Linked DNA regions of Rattus norvegicus. The protein of the gene in region 1 purifies or fractionates together with the protein of each later gene. This does not show direct contact. Links are inferred from orthologs where the notes say so. Each region holds a gene or a part of one and is shown in the gene's direction. Other genes may lie near its edges. The genes, in order: Hscb, Sdhaf1, Sdhb and Iscu.

Region 1 (6,548 bases):
ATCAGTTCTGTTCCTCTAGTGAACCCTAATACAAGTATCTTTCCAAACTAGCTCAGGATGAGTTGGAAATCCACATTCAAATGAATAAATTTGAACCATGTGTGGTTGGCATGTGTAATCCCAACTAAGACAAGATCAATGCAAGTTCAAGGTCACAAGGAACTACATCGTGAGTCCCAAGCCTACCTGGGCTGCAGAATTCCTTGTCTCACCAATGAGTAGAGCCTGGTAATGTGTGCCTATAAACCCAGCACTTGGGAAGTAGAGGCAGGAAGACCAAGAGTTCATTACCCAGGCTGAGCAACGTAGTGAGTTCAAGGCTAACCCAGGACAACATGGGACCTTTTTCTCTGAAGAAAATTTTAAAAAAAATTTGAGGCCAGCCTATGAAATCTAACAAGATTCTATTTGAAAATAAAGATAAGGGAGCCAGGGATAGCTTAGTCTAAAACCTCTCTACCATGCGAGAGGCCCAAATCTGATCCTCAGTATGAAGTGGCAGCCAGGAGGAGACACTCTCCACCACAGCCAGTTACAGGGGCCCTGAGGTTTCTGCTACAACAACCTAATCACCTTCCCTGACTGTTTCTCTCGACAACGCACTATATATTATATTACCAAGTGCCTTACCTAGATTCGAGAATCCATCCTGAAGAGCCCATAGCCGAGCCCAAGGAGTAGGTCCAGGCTCTTCCGGTTCTTGGTCCTCAGGAATAGAACAGAGTTCCTGAGTAGACACTGTCTCTAAAGAGCTCAGGGTCCCAGAGCTGGAGTGGGAGGACTGGCTGGAGGATGGCACTGTGCTGGTGGAGGAACTGGATGCACCCTGATACTGTGAGAGGTCGTGCAACTGAGAGGGGGTGCCTTGGGACTGGCTGAAGCCGCCTTGAGACTGTGAACAGGAAGCACTGTCATGAGCCTTCGAGGAGGTGCTGCCGTGGGACTGATGACTCTTCATATCCGACCTTGAGAGCACGAATCCAACAATAAGGAACAAGGCTCAGGACTCAAGAGTAAAGAACGGAAGCTGGAGAGATTGGTTGGGCAGGAAGAAGCATATACTATTCTTGCAAAACCCAAGTTCAGTAAGTTCTCTACACCTAGTCTGGCAGCTCAAGGTTGCCTGTAACGCCAACTCCGGTGGATCTGAAGTAGATCTCGGCCTCTGCAAGCACCAGAGCATGTATACATTCCCACCCACATAACATAATTAAAAGTAAAGTGAATCTTTACCCAAAAATTAGGTATGTGGCTATAACTCAATGGTAGATGGTGGAGCCTTTCTCCAACAGATGCAAAGCACTGGATCCCATTCCCGTATCGTCAAACATCCAAACTGAAGACAGTTAAAAGTGTACAATTCCCAGCACCCACAACCAGAGGATCACAAACACCTGTAATTCCAGCTCTTGGGGGATACAGTGCCCTCTATTGGCCCCCGTGTGCACTGCACAAACTTAGACACAGACACGTGATTTTTTTTTTTTTTTTAAATAAAAGTTTAAAGGAACAGGCACATTATGACCACCTTAAAAAGAAAGGCAGGCCCAATGATGGGTGAAAAAAAAAAAGTGACCACAGCAAAATCCCAGGATTATGAATAGAATTACAGAGGCCACTTACAAAGCGTTAGACCATCTTCCTTCATGTACAGATGCTGTTTGGTTGTCTCCTATCCATTCCTTGCCATCCTACCCCACACGTATGCTGAGTACGCTGACGTACCCTCTTCAGTTCCTGCAGAGCCTAGCAGCGAAGATTGGGTTCTCAGTTGGTATTTGGGAAAAAGCAATCTAGGGGCTGGCATGAACATTTATAATGTTCGTTATGAAAACTACTTCGCTCTGGCACCAAACAGCCCAGCGTTGTACCTTCCTATGTGTCCAGACCTGTTTCAGCTCGCAAGTAACAAGGAAAGTGAACTTCCCCCCAGAAGGGCAGATAAAAAGAAAGGGTTGCCTATGCACAGCGCCCCCTCGCTCGCACGAGTAAGCAGACAAAGCGGAAGCTGCGGAGGGCCCATTTGCACAAATAACCGGAGAACGGTATTCGAATCCTCAAACACTCAAACAGAAAGTTCCCCAGTTATGACTCACCGCCCAAGACCACCAAGAGCTACAAACACTCCAGAGCCGCAGCCAGTGGTGTGGCGCTAAACCTACCGATACAAACTCCACCCTCAGCCAATCAAAAGGCCTTCCTCCTCGGCAGGACCAATAAGAAAGCCCAAAGGTGGCTTCCCCCGCACAGCCTCTAGGTTTTCTGGGAGTTGTAGTTTAGCTTCCAAAACGGGACTCGGCGTCTTGGTTTCCCGCAGCTGGTCCCGCCTCCTCGGCTCCCTAGCCAATCAGCAGCGAGCCACTTTCTTCCCTTTTCTCCGGTCTGGTAACCCGGGCCAGCAGGCGGCCTTACGAATGTGGAGCTGCAGGGCTCGGTCCCTGCTGTGCGTGTGGGAGGTGCGACTGGCTAGGTTCCTTGGTAGGAGCCTGCTGAGCAGCAATGCCGCCTCGGGAAAGAGCATCGAGCCGCAATGCTGGAACTGCGGCCGCGCGATGGGAGCCGGGCGTGGGGATGAGTTTTTCTGCGCACACTGCCGCGCGCTGCAGCCTCCTGACCCCACTCGGGACTACTTCAGCCTCATGAACTGGTACAGGCGGCGCGGTGTGACTGGAGGGCGGCTCAGGCTTCGTAACCCTAGAGATCAAGGCTTGGGGCGGCGTCTGCGGGCCTGTAATTTCCAGCCAGCTCGTGGGAACTGAGGCAGAAGGACCACAGTTCAAGTCTAGCTTAGACAATTTGCGGAGACTGATTCAACTAAAAGGCTAGATAAGTATATAGGTCATAGGTATGCCTGTGATCTAAGCACTTGAGAAGTGGAAGACACAGGTTCAGGAATCCAAGACTAGCCTCTGCTACAAGGGCCTTGTTTTTAAACTTCAAAAAACGGAAACGGACGAGTTTACATTTTAGGGAGTTTTGAGGGGTGGGATTTCTGGAAAAGGGAAATACATTGGCTAAACTCAAGGGAGCAGAAAAGGGGAGGGTTTATTAAAACGTAGCGTCACCCTGAACTCGTCACCCGCCCCCCTCCGACTCACCAATGCAGGGTTTAAAAGCATGCTAGACTATGGCAGGATTCCCCAGTTGGAGGCCAACCACAAAAATAGGGAACATCTCAAATAAATTATTTATTTAACGGAAAATGCAAAAACAAAACAAGCCAGGTGTGTTGGTATTATGCCTGTGGGTCCAGCACTCAAAAGGATTTGAGGGCAACCTGAGCTATATAAGACAAGTTTGATGAGACTCTGGGCTGCATGAGACTTGGTCTCAAAAACCAAGTGCAGTTAAGAACAAAGCAAACCAAGTGTAATAGCCTATATCCGGAATCCCAGTATTCAGGGGCTAAAGGAGAAGGGTCACACATGGGAGCCAAACATAGGCTAAGCAGTGAGACCCTGTCTCAAGAAACGAAAATTTAATTCAGGCTGAAGATTTGAGGGAGACCAAGAAGTGTTTAGTGTACTTTACCTGCCCCACCCCACCCCCTCTTTTTTTTTTTTTTTGATTTATGTATATGAGTGCACTGTTGCTGTCTTAAGACACACCAGAAGAGGGCATCAGATCCCATTACAGATGTTTGTGAGCTACCATGTGGTTGCGGGGAATTGATCTCAGGACCTCTGGAAAGGTAGTCAATTCTCTTAACCACTGAGCCGTTGCTCCATCCCTGCCTCCCCCACACCCACTCCCACCTGGGAAAGATTGGAGAGGTACAGAAATATGAGAAGTATGAGCAGATTTAAGTAAAATGGGAGGGCCAGCTGTGGTTGTACACACCTGCAATTCCAACCTCCAGACAAAAACAAGAAAATATGGAGTTCAGGTTTCATCCTGCAATCTGGGCTACCCAGCTGCAGACTACACAGAGTCAGTCTGAATCACTCCCTGAGAAGAAAGAAGTGCAGAATCCTCACTTTATCTTGGTGATAAAAACCTTCCTTGCATTAGCCAAGGCCTGGGTTCAAATCCCAATACTATGCTTTAAAAAGACCAAAAAAGGGGCTGGAGAGATGGCTCAGTGGTTAAGAGCACTGACAGCTCTTCCAGAGATCATGAGTTCAATTCCCAGCAATCACATTGTGGCTCACAACCATCTTTAATGGGATCTGATGCCCTCTTCTACTGTGTCTGAAGACAGCAACATTGTACTTATATAATAAAAAAAAATTAATCTTTAAAAAAAAGACCAAAAAATAAAAGACGTGCTTCTAGGTATTAATGGCCTGTGTAGTAGTCTCTACCTATAAGTCCAACTACTCAGGAAGCTGAAAAAGGAGTATCAAAAATTTCAACCCTGGGCAATTGAGCAACACCTAGGTTTTTTTTGTTGTTGTTGTTTTTTGGGTTTTTTTTTTAAGTTAAGCTGGTAAACTTGGCTACATAGCAGCTTGAAATCCACAAGATCGGGGCTGGGGATTTAGCTCAGTGGTAGAGCGCTTACCTAGGAAGCGCAAGGCCCTGGGTTCGGTCCCCAGCTCCGAAAAAAAGAACCAAAAAAAAAAAAAAAAAAAAAAAAGAAATCCACAAGATCTTGATTCTCTCTCTCTCTCTCTCTCTCTCTCGCTCTCGCTCTCGCTCTCGCTCTCGCTCTCTCTCTCACACACACACACACTCTAGACCAGACCCGGTGACAGACCTGTAATCCCACCTAAAAGAAGGCTAAATTAGATTTATTGCAAATCTGGGCATGCCTGGGATATACAGAGAGTGATTTCCAAGTCAACTTGGGTACCTTAGTTAAAAAAAATCTGTCTTAGAGGTAGAGAGATGACTCAGCAGTTAAGGGCACTGAGTTCAATTCCCAGCAACCACATGGTGGCTCACAACCGTTTGTAATGGGATCTGATTCCCTCTTCTGGTGTATTCAAAGACAGCTACAGTGTACTAATATATAATAAATAAATAAGTCTTTTTTTTTTTTTAAGTAAAAAGAGGTCTGGTAGTCAGGAAGAGTGAAGGGAGTGGCTTGGTGCTAAAGTCTTTGCCCAACATGCCAGAGACCGACCCTCTGAGAGCTTACCATGCATTACACCGACCTTATCCCTTAATGTGTCAAGCTGTCCGACCTTCCAGTCAGTTCAGTGTCTCCCTTAATGTCCCTTTCTGATCTTTGCTCATCCGGTTCCTCTCAGATGTCATACCTGTACGACCTCTCCCGAGCCTGTTCCGTTTCCCTTCATTACAGCTACCTCGTCTTAAAAGCAGCCTTCGTTTATGTGCTTGTTATACCCTCCCCAAGAGCAAGACCAGCCCCTAGTAAATAGCTGGTGAAACTACTCTTTTGTTACATGAATAACATCTGGTTTCCTTCCAGCAACCAATCCTTCAGGGTTGACATCCGGAAACTTCAACAAAGGTACCAGCAACTACAGCGCCTTGTCCACCCAGATTTCTTCAGCCAAAAGTCTCAGGTATTTACACACACACACACACACACACACACACACATGCGCGCCTGCATACTATCCCCCATGTATGTGCACAACTGGGTGGGTCGCTCCGTTACTCTGGAAAAGAGTTGGACTGCTAGCTCCACCCTGTGGCAGCCTGCCCCTAGACAGGCAGGCCCCAAAGATGTCATTTCCTCCCGGCTTTTATCTGGCTTCCCAGATAACAAAAACACACCAGCCTGACTGGCTCTGGTGATAATAAAACTGTTTTTACCTCTATGAGCAGACTGAGAAACGGTTCTCGGAGAAGCATTCGACCCTGGTGAATGATGCCTACAAGACTCTTCAGGCCCCCGTGAGCAGAGGACTATATCTTGTAAGGTGATTTCTCAACCCATCTGTCTGGGACTCCTCTGTATGAGACCTGGCCTAGTCCAGGAAGCTAATGATACTTACCTCAAAAATACTACAGGAGAGGAAAGAAAGGAAAAGGTTTTATACAATATAATTTTCTTAGCATTCTTTGTACATCCATCTTTTGTGTGTTTCCTTTAGAAGAAATCTCACCGTTGTAGCCCAGGCTGGCTCCAACTTATTAATTCTCTTGCTTCACCGCACCCACATCCAGCTCCTTTCTAGTCTTTTTTTTTTTTTTTCTCCTTCAGTGCTGGGTATTGAACCTAGTGCCTCGGGCTAAGGAAGTGCTCTGAACTGTGCCTTGGCCCTGCATGACCAATACTGGGTTTTCTTTTGTTTGCTTGCTTGTTTGTTTGTTTGCTTTGATGGTACCAGGTTTTGAATCCACTGTAGTATATCCCCAGCTGCCTTGTTACCTTTTGAACCGGTCTCGCTCAGCTGCCCCGGCTGGACTTAACATGTGATCTTCCTGCCTTGGCCTGCTGAGTAACGTGTGATGCAGCCGTGTACCACCCGGCCTGGTTCCTTTTACATATCCTAACCCCACCGCCCACCCTCACCCCCACCCCCCGTTTGCAGTGCTTTAACTCTTTTCTATAAATCTGATGATAAAGAGTACGTGTAGAGCCTCTTTTGCAGGAACACCTAGACCATTTTAGAACTGAGGAGAATGTTTAT
Region 2 (5,068 bases), on another chromosome or scaffold:
AGTCTAGGCCAAGAGTTCGTAAGGACTTTCCCATGGTTGCAACATGGCAAGGCCCTGCACCTTTCACAAAGGGAGGAAACTGGAGAGATGGCTCAGCAGTTAGGAGGACTTGCTGTCCTTCCAGAGGACCTGAGTTCAAGTCTCAGTATTGGGTAATAATAGTCTCAGGTCATTAGAATTGAATCAGGCTGTGTGGGGCAATAGCCCTGCGCTGGCCCCAACGGAAGTCGAACAGTCTGTGTGGGGAGTGAGGACGAGTCTGGGAGAGAGAGAAAGAGGATGCAAAGACAAGAGATAGATTTGGGAGGACTGCCAGCCGATACTGCAGCAGCCTCCAGTTTCTTTTTTATAGCCTTTTTATACCTCGCAGTACTGTGGGAAGCAAAGCCACAAGCTAATAGAAACAACTGCTGAAATATACACAGGACATCTGTTCCCATCCAAAGGCCTCCATGTTCCTTCCACCAAGGTCAACAGAATCTTCAGCCCTGAGCCTTGAGCTCCAAGTGTACGTCCTCTTATCATCCCATACCTCAGCAGGCCAGGAAATCTGCCAACAGACCCTGACCCACCCTGACTCTGCTTGGCAGGCCGACTTCTCTTTCTCTCCCTCCCTCCCTCCCTCCTTCCCTCGATCTTCTCCCTTCCTCTCTTCCTCCTCCTCCTCCTCCTCTTCTTCTTCCCCTCCCTCCCCACTCCACCTCTCTTTGCTTCAGAGAAGCAGGCAAAGGGCTCCTGACACAGCCTTTAGCCATAAAAGATGGCTCAGCCCCAGTCTTCTGTTCCAACTGCAGAAACAATATGCCTGGGTATTGAAAAACAACCCACTCTGCTCTCAGCCAAATTACAAAAGATCCCTGTAAGTTCCTCGTGGCTACCTATATATGTGTGTGCACATAAACATGTCCCCCATCGCCATTAAATGCACCCAACCTTCATCCCACAGAAATGTTTCAATGAAGCTATCGCAGCCTACTGAAATGGAGTCGGTCCACCGCTGCCTTGTTTCTCCTACACTCAGCACCCATTAGATTCACAATGGGTGAAGCCTGTAGACTTCATGGGCTCTGACCCTCTCCTCTGGCCTGTCCAATGTGTTCACATACATACATGCTGGAGAGAGGGCTGAGTGGTTGAGAGCACTGACTGCTCTTCCAGAGGACCTGGGTTCATTCCAAGCACCCATACCATGTTGGCTCACTACAAGCTGTAACTCCATCTCTCTCTCTCTCTGTCCTTCTCTCTCTCTCTCTCTCTCTCTCTCTCTCTCTCTCTCCCCCTCTCTCTCCCCATTCCCTCTCCTCTCCCCTTCTTTCTCTTCTATTTAGTGAAGGGGGTAGAATGGAGGGCAGGGATAAAGGGTGGGATAAAGAAAAACCCATGGGGCTGGGGATTTAGCTCAGTGGTAGAGCGCTTACCTAGGAAGCGCAAGGCCCGGGGTTCCGTCCCCAGCTCCAAAAAAAAGAACCAAAAAAAAAAAAAAAAAAAAAAAAGAAAGAAAAAGAAAAACCCACAAAGTAACAGAGACTGGCTACATTTAAAAGCTGAACTTTCGGGGGTTGGGGATTTAGCTCAGTGGTAGAGCGCTTGCCTAGCAAGCATAAGGCCCTGGGTTCGGTCCCCAGCTCCGAAAAAAAGAAAAAAAGAAAAAAAAAAAAAAGAAAAAAGCTGAACTTTCTGTCAGCTCCAAGGGAAACTCCAATTCCCCCAATTCCAAAGGGCAGTCCAAATATCCAGAAATGAGCTCACCCTGGACTGCAGGAGGATTTCTGGTGGTGAAACAAAGCCAGCACAGCTCAGGAACTTGAGAAACTTGGCATCCTTTCCCTCACCTCTAGAAGGGATGTATAGCTACATGTGGGGCCTGTCAATAAAACAAAGAGCCTGCAGCCTTATCTCCTGCTATTTGTTAAGGGTTAAACCTGACAACGGTTCTGCCATATTGCCTCAACCTTCATTTTGTGGCTCATGACCTTAACCTGACCTAATGTTCCCTGACCATAACATCATGTTGTCGGTTAGAGCCTCCCTGGAGACCTCTGGGGATTTCCTAGCCTTCCTGCCTCTAGACCCAGCCAATGAGCTTAAAGGTCAGACAGTGCTGCTCTGTCAAGAGAGCCAAATGCATCTGTTCAGGGGTTTCCCCCATATAAAAACTGGCCCTGAGAACTGCCTGAGGTCTGCATGCCTGATTAATCAGTCTTGGAATGTGTGCTCAATAAACCGTCTCGATACCCTACTGACACTGGTGTCACCCAGTGATTTGTGTGGTTAATCCTGAACCCCAACACTATTTTCTCCTCTCTCACAGACAGCTCTGGCTATGTCCAATCTACTTCCTCTGTCTATTCTGGACTCTTCTAGATGTCTCTGGCTGTCCTCTCTCTCATATCTACAACAAACAATTCAACAAACAGCTTTCCCTTAACCATACCATGGAGTGGTCATGTCGTCAGTTTATGCACTTTCCAGCCCCCCAAACAGTAAAAATCTTTTTAAAAACTGCTTGTCTCTTCCCAATATCCCTATGCCCCCTGGTTATTCCCGGATTCGAACTCTTCGCTCCCAGTCCTCCCAGGACTCAGAACTATCTCCTCCTATTCTCTTCTAACATCTAACCGCTTAGGCTCTGCCCCCTGCTTCAACTCAAGTTCAGAAACAACCAGGACTGTAGGCCACTCAAAGACTACCCTTTAGGGTGAACCGGAGCACTAGAGACCCGGTCCACTTCCAGGGCCGCCACGACGTACTGCAGTACTAGCCAATCGGATGCGGCGGCACCGGTTAGCAGGAGGCGGGACTTCTGGCGGACGTGACTGTGGCCCTGCCCGTTAGCTTCTCAGCACTGTCTGTCGGGGCGGTCCTTCCGGTAGGGTCCGGGCGACTGACCGCGACGCAGCGGTCATGAGCCGGCTTAGCCGGCTGCAGAGGCAAGTTCTGAGCCTGTACCGCGAACTGCTGCGCGCCGGGCGCGGGAAGCCGGGCGCCGAGGCACGGGTGCGGGCCGAGTTCCGGCAGCACGCCAGCCTTCCGCGCTCCGACGTGCTGCGTATCGAGTATCTGTATCGCCGGGGACGGCGCCAGCTACAGCTGCTGCGTTCCGGCCACGCCACGGCCATGGGTACTTTCGTGCGCCCGCGGGGCCCTACTGAAGAACCCGTCGACGCGACAGCCCCGGGGAACAGGCTGGACGATAGTGATGCCCTAAAGAATCCTTGTGAAGGCACGGGAGCACGGGAAACGCGATCCGATGGACGGTGACAGACCCAGAGAAAGGTTCCTTTTGACAGTTTGGGAGGAAGATCGGGAACTCATCCAAATGGAAGCTGAGATGTCTTAAGAGACAACGGAATTTTCTCGATGCATGGTGAGAGGTCAGACACTCCCTCACCAAGGAGGTTCCGGGCATCCGGTGGCACCGGCTGGCTGAACAATGTATGCTGGGATTCACCAACCCAAAGTCAAAGAGAGCACAGACTCACGTTCTCCTCCCCTCGGGGCGTGACACCTCTCTTGACTTCTAAGAACACATACACCTCCCCACTCCCTGCCTTTTGCTGTTTTTAATGCCGAGAAAACGGCCTTTTTGCCGTGCATGTTTAATGGAACACCCTGATGAACCATGAGAAGCTTCGCGGTCCGGTTTGGAAAACCACTGCCCGACTTGTTGTGAAGAACCAGGATTGTAAGGGAGGTTACAGTAACTCACCCCAGCTGATGAGCCTGAGACTTCTGGAGAATCCCTAGCCCCTATTCTTGTCAGTCTTCCTCAGGATTCTTGTATAAAGGGAATAAATGTGAGGTGTGCTTTCTTCCTTGTTGTCTTAATAATCTTGTTGATTCTTTCATTAGGGGCCTTTGCTTTTTCTTTTGAGACAGGGTCTTGTTAGAATATAACCTCGGCTGCTCTCAGCGTCAGCTCCTTCTGCCTCAGCCTCTGAACTCCAAGATTATTGGCACGTACTGCCATGCCAAGGTTGGAGAGGCAGGCGGGAACAAAAGGGAGGAAAATGGAACCCCAGCTGAGGCTTGGTGTGTGACATAAAGAGCCTGTGACACTGTTTTCATATGGCTTTTATCTCACTTTGTTACATCACTCCCACCCTCCTGCCATAGGATGTTAGCTCTCTGCTCATCTCTCAGCTTCGGTTTTATTTAGCAAGGTGATCTTGGTTGGGTAGTTTTTGTTGTTTTTAAGACATGGACTCACTTAACCCAGGCCGGCCTCAATCTGGTCATGTAAGGGATAATGGCTTGCAACTCCTCCGTTCACCTCCAGATTACAGGCTCATTCTACCACAACACATGCTAATCTGTGTTTGCTCTGTTTATGGCCTTGTGCTTGCTGAGCAAGTGAGATAACCACTGGGATTCTCTTCCAACCCCAAGGTGACCCTGTTGATCTTGGTGCCATCTCAACTCCAGGTCTGAAAGTGACTACTGAAGTCCTACCCAACCTGTACCCTTGACATATCCCAGTCTCCTGTCTCATCTCCTGGCCCCAAGGGCCTGAGCTACATAGAGCAACCTTGTCTCTAAAAGGAAGGAAAGGGGGCCAGAGAGAAGGTTCAGTGGAAAAGGGAGCTTGGTGACAGGCCTGACTAGCTGAGTTTAAATCCCAGGGAACACACAGGAGATGAGAAAGAACTATGGCAATCTATGTCCATCTGCCTGTGTGCACACAGATATGTAGGTAGGTAGATAAGTGGGTAGGTAGAGATAGATGTATTTAGGAAGACAGACCATGATGACAGATTCCCTGATATACCCCTTAGCTACTGGTTTGCATTATCTTAATGTGGGCTTTCCTAGAAGCTACTGTTCCCCAGGCCTCTTCAGTACCCGATTTTGCATTTCCAGTAGCCATTCCATCTACTTTGAAGACACACTCCCTTCCCCATGGTTAGCCCCCATGATTCCAGCAGACCTGACTGGCCCCTCCTGAAGGCAGAACACACGGCCTAAACCAGTTGAGCCCTCCTGGGGACTCTTAAGTATGGAAGTTTAAAGGGAGAGCTATCCTGTTGACTATAAATTGATAGACACTCTAGCCACTAGGGAATGGACA
Region 3 (6,345 bases), on another chromosome or scaffold:
AAAAGGGTGGCCATTCGCGTAGGGGTGGTGTCTGCCTTTGACATGGTGGCTAAAAAAATGGCTAAAGAGACCAGTTCTCTAGAAATACTGCCTGGAGGAGTTACAAAGAAATGACAGTCTTCCTACAACCTTGGCCCACTTGGGTGGCCCCAATGGTCCCTTGGGTAGCCTAGAAGAAACTATCCCAGCCCTGAGCCAGGCCCCCTAAGAAGCCAAGGTAACCTTGCCATCTGTTGCACAAGACAACCATGCTAATCATAATCAGCTGGCACAACTCCTACTGATTCAGGCAAGGACACCATAAGTCAGAAGTGATGAAAGAGTTGTCAAAGGTCACATGGCCTTGAGGGGAGCAATCTAGGTAACCCCAAGGGTTCAGGACTCCCCACACCCTTTTTAATGAGGCCACCTGGCAGGGAAATCAGAATCAGGGTGAGTTCTCAGAAACTTGGCCTCATCTAACCATTCCTCCTGTCATGGTAATTTCTCCAGTGGCTTCTAAATGATGGGAGTGAGGAAACCCAAGACTATAAACAGTGCCCTCCCTCTGCCAAAGGTGAGCGGAAAGTAATAAACTCATTCCTCTGGTAATTGGGACCAGCAAAGTCACTGGGTACCTCAAGAGATCAAGTGACTTGGGATAGCAAGATCACACCTGCCCAAAGTGGTCAAATCCCCAGTCAGAAGGGCTCTGAGAGAACCCATTAAAAGTGCCAGAAAAAAGCAGCTCAGGTGGACTGGAGAGATGGCTCATTGGTTAAGAGAACTGACTGTTCTTCCAGAGGTCCTGAGTTCAGTTCCCAGCAACAACATGGTGTCTCATAACCATCTATAACAGGCCCTGTTCTGATGTGTCTGAAGGCAGCTACAGTATATTCATATAATGAACAAGACTTTTTTTCTTCTTCTTTTTTTTTCTTTTTTTTTTTTTTTTTTTTTTTTTGGTTCTTTTTTTCGGAGCTGGGGACCAAACCCAGGGCCTTGTGCTTCCTAGGCAAGCGCTCTACCACTGAGCTAAATCCCCAACCCCTTTTTTCTTCTTTAAGCAGCTCAGGTGACTAAGAAAACTGACAAAGCAAAATCTGAGGACACAGCTGGGTTGGTAGAGTGCTTGTTGTCCAGCACGTACTACCAGGCGTGGTGACACACAGCTATAATCCCAGCTCTCGGCAGTTCTTTACCTACGGGAAGATCTGAAGTTCAAGACAGTGGACAGCCTCTGTCTCCTTGGTGTCCAGCCTAAGCTGCATTACTCCTCTGTCCTATTGTCATCTTCCTCAAGGTTAGAAAGGAATTATGTGAGCCATTAACTCACTTACCACAGCACCCCAGAGCCTGGCGCCAGCCACACAGCAGGTGCCCTTTTTGATTGCTTTGGTTTTGTTTTTGTGTGTTTTAAGACAGAGCCTCAAGTATCCCAGATAGCCTCCACCTCACTAAGTAGCCAAGGATGAGCTTGATTCTCCTACTGCCTCCACATGCCAATTTCTGGGATTCCAGGCATGCAACTTACGTACATATTTATGAATAAATGAATGAGCGACACCTTTGACATTCATTTTTGTGACCGCCTCAATCGCTCGCCAACTGTCTCGCTCAGAGAGGGACTGACGGGTCCTCTAGCACAAAACTGATCAGACAAGAGTCACAGGTGATTGACAGACACGACTGCAAGTAGAGAGGGATTAAAATCACAGCCTTCAGCAAACTAGGAAAGACCCGCCCCTCCTGGCCTTTGCCCCACCCCTCCAGGCTACCTTCCCTCTTTCCCGCTGCTCCGACTCCAGAGGTCACCTTAGGAACATAGGAAGCCCAGTGGGCATGCGCCCTACTGGCCGCTACGGCACACTCGCACTTCCTGTCCGTTTACTCGGGATACCGGAAGCTGCCTTCCACTCGTTGGCTCTTAGGCTGCTAGCGGACCTCAAGGGGAGAGGCCGGCTTCCCACCGCGGTGTTCGACGGGATGCCGGAGGGTAAGGGGTGGGGCTGACGTCAGGAGCCAAAATGGCGGCGGTGGTCGGGGTCTCCTTGAAGCGCGGCTTTTCGGCTACGGCTCTCGGCAGAGTCGGCCTGCAGGTGAGCCCCGGAGCCGTAGTTCAGTGGGGAACCGTGCCGGTCACCGAGGCTGCCTGGGTGGAGAGTCCGCGGAGAAGCGGAAAGAGCCCGGGTCCAGGCCTCAGGAGAGGACTTACCAGCTCCCTGCCCCTGAGCATCCTTTCAGATAGCCAACCCGCGCTTCTCCCAAGCTGGAGAGTCGCGGCCGGGAGGAGGTTGGAAAAGATAACGGAAAGGCAGAGGTCAGGGAGGACAAGCGAATTGGTCAAGGTCATATGATGGGCGACCTGTTGTTGGAACCCAGAATCAAATCCTGATATTTGCACTCGACCAACCTTGTGTAAAAGGGAGGCCTGCGGGTTGTCTGGGACGGGTCCCGGGAGACCAGGTCGCAACTCCAGATTAGGCTGTTCTGCATCGGTAATGTCGGAGACCGCTGAACTCTGGAGGACAATGCACTTGACCCGCAGGGAAAGGAAGACATAGAAGAAAACGACCCAACCCCTGAAAGATGCGGACTGTAGAAGTTTGCAAGCAAGACCCGGTTCCCTGAAGTGTGTTTATTCAAGGGTGTGTAGCGGCACTGATCTCATACGGATGGCATGGGATGACAGACAGAGCCTGGAGCTGCTTTTGTTAATACTACTGTAGTGGCTCTGTCATAGGTCTCCCCACACGCCCTATCCTCGGGAGCTGTACACAGTGGAAGCACTTAGAAAGGCGAGAGAAACTGCCTCTCCTTAAAGATTTACAAATACCATTCAGTCCTCTTCTGGGCTCCTGGACAGTCCTTCACAGGTGGACAACAGGAACTCCGAGAGAGACTTTCTTAGTGACTTAAAACCTGAGCGCCCCCCCCCCCTTTCTTGTAAACTGTAGATCGTGGGCAGGTTCTTTTGTGGGTTGTTTTTTGTTTTGTTTTGTTTTGTTTAGATGTTTCCATTTGTACGTAGGAGTTATGTATAGGCACCATGCGTGTGCCTGTGGAGAAGAGGGAGCCGTATTTCCTGGAACTGGAGTTACAGGTGGTTATCAGCCGCCATGCGAGTGCAGAGAACTGAACTCTGCTCCTTCCAAACTGCTAGGACAAATCTCCAGCCTGTGACAGTGTTATTGTTTTGCTTAGGTTTTGGCTTTTTGGACAGTGTCTTTATGCAACCCTGGCTGTCCTGGAACTCAGAGATCCTCCTCCTTCAGCACATGGGAGTAAATGCTGAGATGAAAGGTGTGGACCTGTGCATCTCTGCATACACACCTATCATAGCAGCACTCGGGAGGCTGAGGCAGCGAGATCAGGAGTGTAAGGACATCCTCAGCCCCATATGGAGTGCAAGGCCAACCTGGGCTACTTGGGACCCTGTCTCAACAACAAAAACAGACAGTGCCTACCAGAGCCTCAGGCTGATGTCCCAAGTATTCAGTTAATGATCCTGTTTTGGTTGTTGAGAATTTCATGCATGACTACTGTATTTAAATTTTTTCCAATCCCCTCTCTCCTCCCATGCTCCCTCCCTTTCAAACTCATGACTTCTTTAATTAGCATGGCTAAATATATACGTACACAATCTCTTTAAGTGCATTTAGTGTTCCTTATGCATAAAGTGTTTAGGGCTGAGAACATGGGATCCTAATGACACCAGTTCATGCAAGCATGAATGGGAGAAATTTCACCAGGCCCCACCCCTAATTTAAAAGCTACAGCAATCAGTGACCGCACAAAGGGGGTGTATCAGTTTTCTTGAGGGAGGAGCCTCCTGATAGGTTATCCAGTTAATAATTCCGGGTGACCTTGTTTACTGTCCTCTTTCTACATTGCAGAGGCAGCAGTGAGGTTATGAGAGCCTCACTGTAAGGAGTGAGTTCTCAGGCTCAGGCGGGGCATTCTAGAACGAAGTGAAGAAGAGACTGGTTTCAAAGGTCAGCATTAGGATTTCAGGAGAGGCCCTTACCCACCTTTCTAGGGTAGTGAGAGTAAGAGAGGCCTCCTCCCTGTGGGAAGGTATATTTGTGCTCAAAAAGCCCCGTCCTGAGCTTGCTGTGGACTTTCCGTTCTGGTTCCAAGTCTCCTGTGATTGCTGTGAACTCATGGGAACAGATCATTTCCTGAGCTGTGCCAGTAGTTTGGCCTGCTCCTTGTGAAGTGGGTATCCATACCACCCTCCCCTTCGCAAAGGGGGAAGTGAGATTAGACTGGAGGAAGTGGGATCAGACTGGTTAAGAGATTCTCTAAAGAACTCGCAGCTTGAAGGTAACAGGGCTGGATCCCACTAACACACTTCAGATACAAGCCTGCCCCTTCCTTGAGTCTGTAGGGTTGGCTTTGCCTTCTTACCTTTGCCCACCTTCCTTCCTGGTGGCCGTGTCATATGTCTAGCTTCAGGCCTGCCCCTGCGGAAGATAGAGGAAGTTCATCTTCTCCAGGATTATCTAGAGACGTTCTTCCTTCGTGGCACAGTCACTGGAGTCATAGATCGAGGGCCAGATGTGTTCACAGTCTCCACTCCCATGGGGAACCTGGCATATAAGTTGCTGGACAGGGAGGGAGAGAGAGGAAGGAAGTCTCACACTACAGCCCATCTCCCTGTCTGAGCGGCCTTTTTTTAAAAGCAAAGGGTTTATTAGGAAAAGCTCTGAGAGCCGAGGAGATGGCTTGGTGGCTGAAAAGGCGTGTTGGTCAGATCTAATGACCAGAGCCCTGTCCCTAGAACCCACATGAAGGCAGAAGGAGGGAACCTACTTCAGAGTGTTCCTCTGCCCTCCACATGAGCACATCCTCGCCACCGACACCATGCACACAATCCAAATGCATTTTTGTTTAAAAAAAAGTTTTAATATAGATTTAAGCACAGACATTAGGGGAGAGGGAAAGACCATGAATGTACACAGGTTTCTCAAGAGGAGGTTGCTCATTCTCCTTCCTAATACCAGGGTTCAGGGCAGGCTAACAGGACTCCTTGGGCCAGCATACCACGTGTCCTGATGTCCATCCTGTCTTTCCTCATTTGTTCACCAAGGCCCTCTGCTAATTGTCCCCTCACCGATTCATAGCTGTTCTCTGCCCTCATGGTTATGCAAGGTACACAAGCATGCTGTGATTCCTGCCATCTTTCTGAAAATCACAAATCTAGGCTTGGAGAGATGGCTCAGCTCTCAAGAACACTTGCTGAGTTCAGTTCCCAGCTCCCATGTCCCGTCACTCACAGCCAGCTGTAATTGCAACTTTGGCAGATCCAGTGCCATCTTCTGGCTACCTCAGGCACCTGCACACATGGCATATACTCAGACACACACACACACACACACACACACACACACACACACACACACACGGCATACACGAGAATAAAAATAGGCTGGTGTGGTGGTATACACCTTTAATTCCAGCACTCATAAGGCCATGTAATCAGACCTCTGTAAGTTTGATGCCAGTCTGCTCTACTAGCAAGTTCCAGGATAGCCAGGGCTGGATATAAGACCTTGTCTCAAAACAACAGGACTAGCTGATTCCTAGCCATGGAAGGTGGATGCAGAATTGGCTGTTTAAGGTAATTCTTGGCTACATAATAAATTTGAGGCCAGCCTGGGCTATGTGAGCCTCATCTCAAAGTAAATAAATATCCTTGATTGATTTCAATCTGACCCTAGTCCCTTTTGAAAAGTGTGCCTGATCAAATGTCTCTATAGAAACAAATGTTTAAATAGGAGAAAGACGATGAAGCTCCTTTGCAGGTAACCTGTCATTTCAGCAGGCCTAGGAGTCAACTGAGCTCTTCCTGCCCTCAGAGGGTACTGCTGAATTGGTCTTCCATACTATGGGGCCATAATTGGGTATGTAGTATTGTCTTGGTACTCAGGAGCAGAAATCAGAGATTTGCCGCATGTTCAAGGCCAGCCTGAACTGCATAGTAAGATGTTTTCATCCAGGAAGAATCTCAATACTATTACAGATATATGTGATCTAAAATTATCTCAAGAGTCCAGAAGAGGGCGTAGGATGCATGTTTGTATCGTCCCGGTACCCGCATAAACCAGGCATTGTGGGGCGTCCCTGCTGACGTAGCACGGGGGAGCAGAGGCAGGAAGGTCCAGGTTCAGGGTCATCATCTCAGGGTTATTGTTCCTGGCTGTCTGACTCACATGACAGAGATTTTGTGTTGCTGAGATGCAGCAGAACAGAGCAGAACTTGTTTGTTCCCTAATTGGTGCTCAGATAGTCTTCATCATGAGTTTTCACTGGGTTTGGGAGGAGTGCTTTCTTTTTAAACAAATTTCTTTTTTCTTTCTTTTT
Region 4 (5,708 bases), about 3.0 Mb from region 1:
CACAGAGCATTTCATCTTGTCTGCCATTCCTGTGAGGAGGGATGGGCGGCTGACAAGGATGGGTCTCTGTTCCGAAACAGGTGGCCTCATTCTCCACAACACCACCACACCAAGGCATCGGTAGATCTTGCTTTCACCGAGTGAAAGACTTTGTGACTGTTCTGACCAAATGAAGGCCCCCAGTGAGAAAAGGAATGTGTTAACCAAACCTCTCCAGGAAAAGGAAGCGGGGTGGAAGGTGGTGGGCTGGGCCTAGGTCAGCTGGAGTTTTAGCTCAGCCTCAGCCTCCTTAATGGCAGGCAGAAAAGAGCTGTTAATTACAGTTGGTGCCCAAGAGAAAGGGATTGATGGAGACCTTGGTTACAGACTCTGTCAGTGCCTGAGGTGCTGATGGGGGGACATCTATAAACAGACCCCTGCAAAATAGGCACTCACATACAGCAGGCAAGGGCCGAAAACAACCAAGCGGGGTGAGGGGCACTGTTCCTTGCCCCTCTCCCAGCTGAGCCTGTGTGGACCCCAAGTTTCACTTTCTGTCGCCAAGTCCTTTGAAGCAAAACACAGTGATGAATGTCATGGCATGTGGAGTCATAGCAAACCAGGGCTCGTGTGGAACACTCACCTCTGGAAGTTCCCGGCTCCCGGATTCCAGGTGTCAAGCTGTGGCCTCTCAGCTCCCGTCTCTTTTCTAGATCCAGGTGGATGAAAAGGGGAAGATTGTGGATGCCAGATTTAAAACATTTGGCTGCGGCTCCGCCATTGCCTCCAGCTCCTTAGCCACGGAGTGGGTAAAGGGGAAAACGGTAAGGCTGCTCAGAGAGGGAGGGAGGGAGGGAGAGAGAGAGAAAGGGGGGGGGGAGCCCATTTTTCTAAGGTTTAATTTCTCTTCCTACCCGAGCACTGATTACATTCCTTACTCTGGAAGTTTAAGACCATCTTGTTGCTTGAGGCAGTGTGTTAGTCACTGTTGTCACTGGTTGCCAGTTCAGTAGATGAGAATCGCCACCAGGCCTCCCAGCAGTAGAACTGAAAGATGGTTTTGGGCTTTCCCTGATGTCCCTAAGGTCACCAAGGTCCCCTAAGAGCTCCTGAGCAGCATTTACTGTTTGTTTCATCCCATCTCCTCCTTCAAGGAGGAGTCCAGAAAGACATGCACAGATTGCAAAAACAACTTTGTCGGAGGGAGGAGTTGGAATTCAAAATCTGGGGCTGGAGAGATGGCTCAGTGGTTAAGAGCACTGACTGCTCTTCCAGAGGTTCTGAGTTCAATTCCCAGCAACCACATGGTGGCTCACAACCATCTGTAATGAGATCTGATGCCCTCTCCTGGTGTGTGAAGACAGCAACAGTGTACTCATATACATAAAATAAATAAATGTTTTTTAAAAAGAAGCTAAGGAGCATTTAAAGAAAAAAAAAAAAGACCCAGTAGCTGTGAAACTACCCACACCAGCACAAGGTGGTGGCACACGGCACACCAACCTGTAATCCCAGCTCATAGAAGGAAGGGGCAATTTTTTTTTTTTTTATCTTTATTAACTTGAGTATTTCTTATTTACATTTCAATTGTTTTTCCCCTTCCCGGTTTCCAGGCCAACATCCCCCTAACCCCTCCCCCTTCCCTTCTATATGGGCTTCCCCTCCCCATTACCACCCTCCCCCCAACAATCACGTTCACTGGGGGTTCAGTCTTGGCAGGACCAAGGGCTTCCCCTTCCACTGGTGCTCTTACTAGGCTGTTCATTGCTACCTATGAGGTCAGAGTCCAGGGTCAGTCTATGTATAGTCTTTGGATAGTGGCTTAGTCCCTGGAAGCTCAGGAAGGAGCAATTTAAAGATCGCCCCAGACTGTATGGGACCCTGTCTTAAAGTGGTGTGCTCACCCTTTGCCCCCTCCTGGGGCCCAGTTCAGGAAGCTCAGTCATGGATTGCTGTGCTCAAAACGCCAGCCAGCTCTCTAACAGCCACCTGCTCCTCCAGATTCGGGCATCTGGTTATTGAACTCCTGGAGGCCAGGGAGACCCAGACCTGCTTGTTCTGGGAGAAAATGGCTCAAAGGAAGTTGGTTAAGAAGCAGCTTTGGAGAAAGGGGAAGTGAGATTGGGCACCTGCTCCCAGGACCTGGCCTTTCAGGGCTCTGAACTGTATGGTCAGACAGTAGGAAGACCTTCTCTAACCTCGAGGTTCCCGTCTGAAGGAGACTAGCTTTTCTTTTTTTTTTTTTCTTTTTTTTTTTTTTTTTTTTTTTTTTTTCCCTTTTTCTTTTTTTCGGAGCTGGGGACCGAACCCTCAGTACTGACCTTCACGGGTGGGTGTGGGAGGAGGTGAACAGACAGACAGACTGCCAGCGGCCATTCTTGGTTTACGACTGAGCTCAGCCATCACCTTTGACGGCCAGCCCACACTCCCTGGGACCTGATCTCTGTCCACAGTGCCCCCTCTGTCCCAGCCAGGAAGGCAGGACCGTCCCAGTCGGTGTAGCAGGCGCACACTCTTGGGTCTTTCTGATTCTAGTTCCCTCCAGCTTACAAAGCTTGCCAGCTTACTTGCGTTTGCTAGGCAAGCGCTCTACCACTGAGCTAAATCCCCAACCCCGAGACTGGCTTTTCTTAATGCATAAGCAGGCCTCTCTGCCTCTCATCCCTCACAGCTCTCAGACCCAGGCCTCCTCAGGCAGACATTGCATAGCAGCCTAGGCAATGCCTGCCTTCAAGGGGCAGCAGGTCTTGTTCTTGCTTACCCAGCCAGGCAGCGCAGGTGTGTGTCCCCCCACTACAGATCCCTTGGTATACAGTGGCAGTCCTGCCCAACAGTGTTGAGTTACTTAGCAGGAGTTTTCCCAGACAGCCTGTCCTGAGGTGTGTTCTGCCCACCCTCAGCAAGGTCAAGTTCACTGAAACTGCACTTTCCTCCCTAACATTTCAGGTGGAGGAAGCCCTGACCATCAAAAACACAGACATCGCCAAGGAACTCTGCCTCCCGCCTGTGAAACTGCATTGCTCCAGTGAGTGCCCCGCATAACAGGCAGCTCGGGTCTGCTCAGAGTGCGCTGTGCCCGCCACCCCACACTCTGTGCCTCCCCAGTCTGTCTGCAATGCCTGGGGCCGTGGTACACTCACTGCACTGTCCCACAAGAAGCCTTGCACCTCAGAGCCTGCAGTCAGATCTGACACCTTCCTGTCCTCTTAAGCCTCCCCAAGAAAGCAGGAACGCAACATCACCCTAACATACTAGGCTTTCTGCCACCTTCCAGCTTCTCACCCACACCCCACCCTGTAACCTCACCCTCAGTACTGACCTTCACGGGTGGGTGTGGGAGGAGGTGAACAGACAGACAGACTGCCAGCGGCCATTCTTGGTTTACGACTGAGCTCAGCCATCACCTTTGACGGCCAGCCCACACTCCCTGGGACCTGATCTCTGTCCACAGTGCCCCCTCTGTCCCAGCCAGGAAGGCAGGACCGTCCCAGTCGGTGTAGCAGGCGCACACTCTTGGGTCTTTCTGATTCTAGTTCCCTCCAGCTTACAAAGCTTCTCTTCCTTCACCACCTCCCAGCAGGGAGATGGCCACCCAACCTGAGTTAGAACTTCTAAACCCACCCCCCAAAGTTGTCCTGTGACCACCACACGTGCCAGGCACATCCACCCATCACATACATGTACAGGCGCATGCATATATATTCTAAATAGATACATATTTATAACAACACACAAATATGCCATGATGTGTGTATAACTATAAAATGTGGAGACCACCCCTCCAGTGTCTAGAAATTAAAGCTGTCTACCTTTCCGTGCCTTCCAGTGCTGGCAGAAGATGCCATCAAGGCTGCCCTGGCTGATTACAAACTGAAACAAGAGGCCAAGAAGGACGAGCCGGAGAAGCAGTGAGCCCTGAGGACGCTCCAGCCGCTCACAGCAGGCCTCCTGCCACCCTGCACATCAGAGAAGCTACGCAAAACGCACACTACTCACTGTTTGCACTATGGCTCTGATACAAGCAAAATGTGCCGTTGATTACGCCTAATCCTGTGTTCCTTTCAGCTCACGTGTGTCCTTAGTGCAGTTGATGTCTTGATTGAGTTTGTGACCTGGGACTGAAATCAGCACCAAAGTCTTAAGCTCTGGAGAGTGACAGGGAGTTGTACCCAAGCTGCGGGGAGACGGCCAGCAGAGCACCTTGTGCTGGCTCTGATAGGATCTATCACTGTGTGTTTAGCAGATCTGCGTGTATATTATAATAAAAAATGGAAGACGATGGTTTTCTCTACTGAACCTGATTCTCGACTCCCTAACCCACCCCTAGTGCAGCCAAGCGCCTCAGGGTTCCCAAGGCCAGACTGCAGTGGGTGACAGCAACAGCCACTTAGCTTCTTTTGAAAGGCTGGAGGGGACGGCTGGTGTTCTTTATGCTGGGAAGCATGGTCAATTCACAAGGACTCTGAGCAAGCGTTCCTGCAATAATCCATTGGTCCGTGAAAGTCAGAAAGTAACCCCAGAAGCTGGCCCCTAAGCCTGTGGACCAATCAGGAAAAGCATTGGGAGATTACACCGTTGTACTCTAGGCCCAGGCCTCCAGCCTTCTTCTGGCAAATGGTTCTAACCTCCCAAGGCCTCCCAGGCTTTGTGTGGTGGACAGTGAACTGAAGCTGACTGGAGAAGCTCATCCGGTGCGAGTGTGTGTTTCTCACGTTCAACTGAAACAAGTACATGCACTGCCGTAGCCCTCAGTTCCAGATACACACACTGACTCCAACATTGGTAGCAGCTGCTCCTCCCCTGAGCTGCCCAGTTATGTAGCTCAGGGAAGGGCCCAGTTTTCCAGTCTTGGCATTGGGAGATGCAGCGAACTTCAAAAGCAAACTGTTTTCTGATGGTGGCTTTCTTGTCCAGGCATACACAGGCTGACTCTTAAATCATCCTTTAAAATATTCTGGGTTCTGGTGAAGGGCTCAGAACTTCAAAGGCCACTTCCTCCACAGTTGGGAGGAGACCACAGCCAGAGTCCATCAGAATCTCAAATTAGCCCCTGGGTGGATCCATGTCAAATTGTCCTGAAGGGCGTGTTGTAACTCAGTCCCTTACTTGTGGCAATGCCACAGTTCCCCACCCCTATTTCTGATTTTAAAATGAGACACTTCTGAATTCCACACATCAAGTTGCTGGCACGGTCCAACCCCGAGAATGTGAGGTGCAGCCCACAAGTCCAATTTCTGTAACTTTCTATAAATTTACTCTGCAATCAGGTCAATTTGGGACCCATGTACTCCTCACTGAACTAGTAAGGGGTTTGTCACAGTCTCCATGTGTGTCTTGGAACTCTTACATGCAATGGCTATCTGGGTCTGGGAGTATCTTTCGTTTCTTGCATCAAAGTACTCTTGCCTCGGCCTCCTGAGTGTGTCATTACGAGCATACGCCATCATGGGTGGGTCGCATGATTGGTTTTAAAAGGCAAAAAGATCTCTGAGGTCCCTCAAATTTTTCTCCATTGCTGGCAGCCTCTGAGGGAGCTGCACCTTTAAGCACACCAGCTGGCCCAGGCTGAGCAGCCCTGAGCCTACTTTTGTGCCCTGTCCTTCCTGGAATCACTGTGGCTCTGAGAACGTCAGAGGCTTCACCTTGAACCCTAGTGACGCATTAGGCCTCACTTGTCATGACCGTCACTCAGGGAATTATCATTGTGTGTCAGACACCTCAGTCTGTCA

Evidence for each region.
Region 2: the proteins of Hscb (region 1) and Sdhaf1 purify together in Homo sapiens (co-immunoprecipitation; 3 studies listed by BioGRID and IntAct, with this or other methods). This does not show direct contact. The link is inferred for Rattus norvegicus from reciprocal best matches to the Homo sapiens genes HSCB and SDHAF1.
Region 3: the proteins of Hscb (region 1) and Sdhb purify together in Homo sapiens (co-immunoprecipitation; 3 studies listed by BioGRID and IntAct, with this or other methods). This does not show direct contact. The link is inferred for Rattus norvegicus from reciprocal best matches to the Homo sapiens genes HSCB and SDHB.
Region 4: the proteins of Hscb (region 1) and Iscu purify together in Homo sapiens (affinity purification with western blotting; 3 studies listed by BioGRID and IntAct, with this or other methods). This does not show direct contact. The link is inferred for Rattus norvegicus from reciprocal best matches to the Homo sapiens genes HSCB and ISCU.

Annotation. Positions count from the first base shown.
Region 1 is NC_086030.1:51,478,957-51,485,504, forward strand, and holds the start of Hscb (iron-sulfur cluster co-chaperone protein HscB precursor), read left to right. Parts: upstream 1-2,386; 5' UTR 2,387-2,414; coding exon 2,415-2,647; intron 2,648-5,377; coding exon 5,378-5,474; intron 5,475-5,739; coding exon 5,740-5,829; coding exon of another isoform or gene 5,830-5,834; intron 5,835-6,548. Other genes in the region: Chek2 (serine/threonine-protein kinase Chk2), read right to left, coding at 631-958.
Region 2 is NC_086019.1:94,702,422-94,707,489, reverse strand, and holds Sdhaf1 (succinate dehydrogenase assembly factor 1, mitochondrial), read left to right. Parts: upstream 1-2,878; 5' UTR 2,879-2,904; coding exon 2,905-3,261; 3' UTR 3,262-3,828; downstream 3,829-5,068.
Region 3 is NC_086023.1:158,545,948-158,552,292, forward strand, and holds the start of Sdhb (succinate dehydrogenase [ubiquinone] iron-sulfur subunit, mitochondrial precursor), read left to right. Parts: upstream 1-1,986; 5' UTR 1,987-2,006; coding exon 2,007-2,078; intron 2,079-6,345. UniProt on the Homo sapiens protein: Iron-sulfur protein (IP) subunit of the succinate dehydrogenase complex (mitochondrial respiratory chain complex II), responsible for transferring electrons from succinate to ubiquinone (coenzyme Q).
Region 4 is NC_086030.1:48,511,414-48,517,121, reverse strand, and holds the end of Iscu (iron-sulfur cluster assembly enzyme ISCU), read left to right. Parts: intron 1-692; coding exon 693-803; intron 804-2,925; coding exon 2,926-3,004; intron 3,005-3,805; coding exon 3,806-3,891; 3' UTR 3,892-4,270; downstream 4,271-5,708.